Macaca fascicularis: one gene and its partner. The protein of the gene in region 1 purifies or fractionates together with the protein of each later gene. This does not show direct contact. Links are inferred from orthologs where the notes say so. Each region holds a gene or a part of one and is shown on either strand. Other genes may lie near its edges.

Region 1 (3,756 bases):
TTTACATGTCTCTGAGTAGAATATGAGCTTCTTGAAGAAAGGGACTTTGTCTATACATGTTTGATACACAGCTCCTGGTAAGCGGTATGACCTAACATTGTTAAATAAAGGAATGGGATTTATAGATATAATCTGGAACATGTATCAAAATTTACAATAATACCCAATTTGTGTATTATGTATATTCTATAATATTCATCCATATACATCCATATATTATATATAGAGTTCCATGAAGTTCACTACTGTATTCAGAATGATATTCAAATGCTATTCAATTTTAAATGATATATTTTTAGCACCATAAAATGTTACACAAATCCATATTTAAATAGTATTATTGTATAATAACCTGTAAACTAGAGTTACTACACACACATACACACCACACAAATTCTATTTAAAAAGCTATTTACCACAAAGTAATTCTAAGACTTGATTAACACTGCCTAATGGAAAAGTCTGGAGATTGGAGCCAGGCAAAAAAAAATCTGCATTTTGGTTGTCTAGCACTACCTGAGTAATTTCCGTTGCTTCTTTCTGAACGTGAATTTTCTGTGATGTGGAGACATTTAATACCATCCTTAGTGAACTGGCTTAAGGACTGGAGGTAATAATGTATGTGAAGGGCTGATGAATGCTTGTAGTCAGACTGTAGTCTCTCTAGAGTTCCTTCCTCGCTTGCAAACTAAGTAAAGGCTTTTTTGTTTGTTTTACACATTATGAGTCTTTTATAGTCAGGAAAACTACACGGATCCCAACTTTGGCAATTCAGAGAGTCCGATTAACGTGGTAGAGACAAAAATATATATATATATATTTAATAAATATATATATAAAAAACTCGGAAAACGCGCTAAACCCGCAGGGAGCGCTGGGCCGACCTCCAGTATCCCAGCATTCCTCGCGCTGCTCCCGTAGTTCCTTCTCCGAGTCTCTATGGTAGCGTCAGCCTCGGAGGCGGCAGTGACGGTGGCGTTTCCTTGAGGAAGAGTGAGGGTTCCAACTTTCCTGCTGATCTGGGAGGTGTTGGGCGCGGAGGGTCGAGATGTCAGAGAAAAAGCAACCCGTAGACTTAGGTCTCTTAGAGGAAGACGACGAGTTTGAAGAGTTCCCGGCCGAAGGTAACCGCTGTGCCCCGGTTTCTGTGCCGCGCGAACGGTGACTCAGGCCTCCGTGTGGAGGTGGTTTGGTCGGTCGGGCCCAGCTGGGGGCACCGGCGGGAAGTTTGGACTCCCAGGGCCGGCACTCGAGGCGCTAACGCTCATCCCTCAGTGGCGCCCCAGCGTCGGGTTTGGGGTGTCGCGCTGGGACTCATTGGCGAGGCCCAATGGCCTCAGCTTCCGTACTGGGAGGAGCCACCGTGAGTCTGGACCCATAGCCCCGCGTCTGGGATGGTTGGTCCCTTTACTGTTCCTCTGGGTTACTCACCACTTAAACTTTAGTTCAAGTCTACATAACTTCCTTTTATTTTTCTTTTCTTTTCTTTTCTAGAATTTCTTTTCTTTTCTTTTCTTTTTGTTTTAACAGTCTTTCTTTGCCTTTAAACCTTTCCAGAATTGAATTGTCTGTAGTTACGCCAATGCTGCTTAACTTTTAGGATGTTACAAATGAAGCCTGATTAAGTAAGACAGAAGGGTAAGATATTGGGTGCTTAATACACATTATTGCCTTACTCCTGTTCCTCACCATTTTTGTCACTTAACTGTGACCTAACTTAATGCTTTATAAGACCCTACAACTTGACGGGTATGGTGGCTCAGGCCTGTAATCCCAGCAGTTTGGGAGGCCGAGGTAGGAGGATCACATGAGGTCAGGAGTTCAAGACCAGCCTGGGCAACATAGCGAGACCCTGTCCCTACAAAAATAAAATATATATTTTTAAAAATATATTTTTTCAATTAAAAATACACTTTTTTTTTTTTTTTTAGTTTCAAAACTAAAGACCTTTAGTTTTTTTGTTGTAGGTAATAGCAAATTGCTAACATTTCTTGAGTGGCTGCTGTTTTCAGGAACTTGTCTAAGTGCTTTACTTGTAATAGCATATTCCACTTTCATAAATTCCACTAGGGCCTACTTCCTGTATGCCCTAGACCATTCTTTAGATAAACTGAAGCTCAGAGTGAAACGTTCCTGATGTCTCATAACTAGTTAGAAACAATAGAAGTGGAATTGGGACACCTGTTCTGATTGACACCAAAGTTCTTAACTTTAGCTGTACTGCTTCTGTTTGTGAGATTGCTGTTACCAGTTGGGTTTTCAAAATAGGCTGCTTTATTGACTAATGGTTGATGAGTAGGACTTGTAAATATTTACCTTATAAGAAAAGGAGATTACTTTCTGAAGGTGGTAGAAAGAGAATTGTGGTTAATGGGGTACACATCCTGCTGCATCAAGCAATTACTACTTCACTAAAATTGTCCCAAGTTGTATACCCTATCATGATCCTATTGTACGTAAAACCACATAGCTGGAACATTTGTTCTATTTATAATGTACTGTTACTTTGTTTAGTGGAAGAGAACATTAGTGTACATGCTACAGAAACTCGTAAACTAACCCAAAGCACATTTCTTTTCAGTTCTGGAATTCATTATGTATTGTAGGCATTCTTAGTTTTTTGTTTTGGTAATGGATTTATCTGTTCAGTCATGTTTTCTTTAGCTCACTTTCAAGTTGCGTCATAATCTGCCAACATAGAGCTGTGTCATAGAAAGCTGGCCTATTGAAGGTAGGATCTTCTTACTCAAACTTCATACTTCAAATAACATTGTTCATTATCATATACAGGGTGGAATGTTAGGCACTTTATTTACATTATATAATCTAGTTATCACTATCACCCTGAGAATATGGAGGCTCAGAGACAAAAAGAAAAACAAATAAACAAAACTTGCCATTATGTCCAAGCCAGAATCTGAAAGGTCTGTCTCTCTGATCCAAACTTTATCCGCAGTATTTAGCAGAGTGCCTAATACATAGTAGGTGGTCAGTAAATGCTTGTTGAATGAATGATGAATGAACCCGCATTTAAAATGAGTAGTTAGTTGATAATTGACTGCTTAAAAACGATCTAGAGATAACTATGTACCTGATGGTACACTTGATTTTTTTCAGCAACTTTCATCAGCTTTTGCTAGTGTAGTTTGTGCTTGTTCTAAGTTTATGCTGTGAGCAGCAATTTTTCGAAGTGCCAGTAGTTACATAGTAAAACAAAACAAAAAGGTAAAAGGAAAAGCAAAGAAAATATTCTAAGGACAAAAGACTCACAACAGACTGGTTTATTAACATTAAGTTATTGACCATTTATGGGTCTCCTTACAGAATGTTTGTTGTCTTCAGATATAAATGTGTAGAATTAATTCATTCAGGAAACTTTCCATTTTAGAATGAGAAACATTTTTAATGTCTATTTTGTTCAAGTTTCTCTTCTCTGGTTTATGATTTGGAGAGGTTTTTCTTAAGTTAGTGAGAAAATCAGCCCACAAGGTGAAACCACTCAATATTTACTCATGAAAATTGTTCTGATGAATAACAAAACCTAAAGAAGAACAAACTTGGGAAAATATCACCAAATAATTATTCCTTTTCTGAGAATCTGCATTTCTGACATGTTTTGGTCTAGTCAAGATTTAGAGTCTGTTGCTATTCAAAATGTGATCCATGAAACAGCAGACTTGGCATTGCCTGGGAGCCTGTTAAAACTGCAGCATCTCATCGTTCCTCAAACCTAGACCTACTTAATAAGTGTGGGCT
Region 2 (3,656 bases), on another chromosome or scaffold:
TTGTGCATGTGTTCATTAGGATTTTCCATATACAAGGTCATGTCATCTGCAGATAGAGACAGTTTTACTTCTTTTCTAATATGGATACCTTTTATTTCTTTGTCTTGTCTAATTGCCCTATCTGGAGCCTCCAGTATATTATTAGACTAGCAAGAACCAACAACATCCTTGTCTGGTTCTTGATCTTAGGGGAAAGCATTCAGTCTTTCATCACTAAGTATGATGTTATCTGTGGGTTTTTTGTGGATGCCCTTTATGAGATTGAAGAAATTCCCTTCTATTCCTAGTTTGTTCATCAGAAAAAGGTGTTGGATTTTGTCAAATGTTTTTTTCTTTTTTTATTAAGATAATCATGTGATTTTTGTCCTTTAGTATGCTTTTATTACATTGATTGGTTTTTGTATGTCGAACCAACCTTGCATTTCTGGGATAAATTTTACTGGTCATAACGTATGATCCTTTTTATACGTTGCTGGATTTAGCCTGCTTGTATTTTGTTGAGGATTTTTGCATCTGTTCATAAGTCATATTGGTCTGTAGTTTTTTTTGTGATGTCTTTGAATTTGGTGTCTGGGTAATACTGGCCTCTTAGAGTAAGTTGGGATTTATTCTCTCCTCTTCTGTTTTCTGGAAGTATTTATTAAGAATTGGTGTTAATTCTTTGAACAGTTGATAGAATTCATCAGTAGTCTGGGCCCGGGCTTTTCTTTTTGGGAAGTTTTGTGATTACTGATTCAGTCTCTTGTTACTTGTCTATTCTACTTTTCTGTTTCTTTTAGAGTCAGTTTTGGTGGTTTTTAACTTGGAATTTGTATATTTTATCTGAGTTGTCTAATTTGTTGGCATGCAGTTGTACATATTTCCTTATAATCATTTTCTTCTTTTGTTAAAGTAGTAATATTCCTGCATTTATTCCTGATTTTAGTAATTTGAGTCCTAAGATTTTTGTTTTTTCCCTTCAGTTTAGCTAAAGGTTTTAATTTTGTTGATTTTTTTTTTTTTAATGACAAAAATAACTTTGGGTTTTGTTGATTCTCCCTATTGTTTTTCTAGTCTTTTTTTTTTTTTTTTTTTTTTTTAAGTCTCTCTAATGTTTATTTCCTTCTTGCTTGCTTTTAGTTTGTTCTTCCATTTTTAGATTAGGTTTAGTTTAGATCTTCTTTGTTTAGTTTTAGATTAGATTATTATCTATCTTTGTTAGGATAGATGTTTATAGCTATAATATTCCTTCTGTGTTTATGCTATAGCAGCATTCCATAGGTTTTAGTATGTTGTTTTGCTTTCTTTAATCTCAAAATATTTTTCAATTTCCCTTTTGGTTTCTAATTTAATTCATTTGTTATTTAGGATTGTGTTAATTTCTACAAGTTTATGAATTTCCCACATCATCTCCTTTTCTAAATTCATTCCATTATAATCAGAGAATATACTTTCAATACTTTTCAACTTTTTGAGGTTCGTTTTGTGGCCTAACATGGTATTTCTGAAGAATGTTCTATGTATACTGAAGAAGAATATAATGTAGTTCTTATTGTGGTCTATAAATACCTGATAGATCTAGTTTGTAGTCAAGTCTTCTTCCTTAGCTGTTTTATCTATTATTGAAGGTGGGGCTATAGATTTCTCTAACTATTATTGTTAATTACCATTTCTACCTTTAATTCTCAGTTTTTATTTTATGTATTTTGTGGCTCTGTTATATATGTTTATAATTGTTGTGTCTTCCTGATCCTTTTTTATCATAAAATGCCTTTTGTTTATAGTAACAATTTTTATCTTAAATCTGTTTCATCTGATATAGTCATTCTAGCTCTTTTTTGGTTACCATTTGCATGGTATATACCTTTTTCGATCATTGTGTTTTTGAATCTTTAAATTGTGTGTTTTGTAGAAGCAGGCAGTTGGATTATACCCTTTACTTCACCTATCCTAGCTTTAATCTGGATAAAACCCAGATAACAAACGGATTTTTTAATTTCTTCTCCTTTCATAGATCAGTAGTTATTCGTGATGAATTTGGATTTTTGCCCAAATTTTAAGGGTCATTTCCGAATATAATCTAACAGCAGTCCTCAACCTTTTGGCACCAGGGACCAGTTTTGTAGAAGACCTTTTTTTCTACCAACAGAGGTGGAGTGGGCGCGGTGGTTTTGGGATGAAACTGTTCTACCTCCGATTATCAGGTATTAGTTAGGTTAGGAAGTGGGGCGGGGTGGTGGTTTGGGGCTGAAACTGTTCACCTCACATCATCAGGCATTTGTTAGGCTATCATACGGAGCACAGAACCCAGATCCCTCACATGCACAGTTCACAGTAAGGTTCATGCTCCTATGAGAATCTAATGCTGCCGCTGATACGAAAGGAGACGGAGCTCAGGTGGTAATTCGAGTGATGGGGAGCAGCTGTAAATACAGATGAAACTTCACTTGCTCACCCACTGCTCACCACCTCCTGGGCGGCCCAGTTCCTAACAGGCCAATGGGTGGTGCCAGTTTGCGGTCTGGGGATTTGGGACACATGATCTAACTCAAGGTGATTGAGACAATTGAGGAAGGTGACATTTGGCTGAGTTTTTAAAGGCTTTTAAAAGCAGTGAGTATTGTCACAAGTGGTTTTTAATAGACTAGGAAAATGAAATTAAGTAGCTAGTATTACCATTTAAAATGCTGTGATTGTTAAGCAGATAAAAATAGAACACTGTCTTTACTTCAAAATGTACCGTGTGTTATTACTACTAATTGGTCACCTAGTTTTCTAGTATGGAGTGTTGAATAAAGCAAGGAGATTGAGAGTGATGTTTGATCCAAATGAAAGACATTAGTTGGCATTAATAAATAAAACATTTGCTTTTAATTTACAAATAATTAGATGAGGTGGTTAAGCTATACTCCAGGTACTCTCATCCTTATCTTCACTCTTAATATACTAAAAACCATTTGATTTACACATTTCTGTAGTCATTTATTTTTAAACCATAGCAATTAGCAACTAATGTTTAATTAGGCCAAAGAGTATTTGCATAGTATCTCTTAAGCTTTAACTAGAAAACAAAGACTTTTTTAGGCGATTAGTAAAGGAAAGGGTCTAGATTCCATCAAACCGCTTGGGTTGGGCAGTAAATCCATATTCAGATAGAGATGAATTCATGTAAAATTCTCAAAAGCTTTTTTGGGTTGCAGTATGTTTTTGAGTAATGATCTGTCTTTAGTGCTATGCTGGAATCTGTAATATGTAAGTAAATTAAATGTGCCATAATTGGTGTGTTGGATTTATATTTTTTTCCTTTTTCTTCCAGTTAAAGGCATTAGGATTTCCTGAAGGACTTGTGATACAAGCATATTTTGCTTGTGAGAAGAATGAGAATTTGGCTGCCAATTTTCTTCTACAGCAGAACTTTGATGAAGATTGAAAGGGACTTTTTTATATCTCACACTTCACACCAGTGCATTACACTAACTTGTTCACTGGATTGTCTGGGATGACTTGGGCTCATATCCACAATACTTGGTATAAGGTAGTAGATTGTTGGGGGTGGGGAGGGAGGGATCTAGGATATAGGGCAGGGATAAATACAGTGCATGTCTGCTTCAACTAGCAGATGCCGCAACTCCACACAGTGTGTAAAATATATACAACCAAAAAATCAGCTTTTGCAG

The links. The genes of interacting proteins can lie anywhere in the genome.
Region 2: the proteins of SEM1 (region 1) and RAD23B purify together in Homo sapiens (co-immunoprecipitation; 3 studies listed by BioGRID and IntAct, with this or other methods). This does not show direct contact. The link is inferred for Macaca fascicularis from reciprocal best matches to the Homo sapiens genes SEM1 and RAD23B.

Annotation. Positions count from the first base shown.
Region 1 is NC_088377.1:124,618,139-124,621,894, forward strand, and holds the start of SEM1 (26S proteasome complex subunit SEM1), read left to right. Parts: upstream 1-965; 5' UTR 966-1,048; coding exon 1,049-1,124; intron 1,125-3,756. UniProt on the Homo sapiens protein: Component of the 26S proteasome, a multiprotein complex involved in the ATP-dependent degradation of ubiquitinated proteins.
Region 2 is NC_088389.1:50,789,524-50,793,179, reverse strand, and holds part of RAD23B (UV excision repair protein RAD23 homolog B), read left to right. Parts: intron 1-3,295; coding exon 3,296-3,409; 3' UTR 3,410-3,656. UniProt on the Homo sapiens protein: Multiubiquitin chain receptor involved in modulation of proteasomal degradation. Binds to polyubiquitin chains.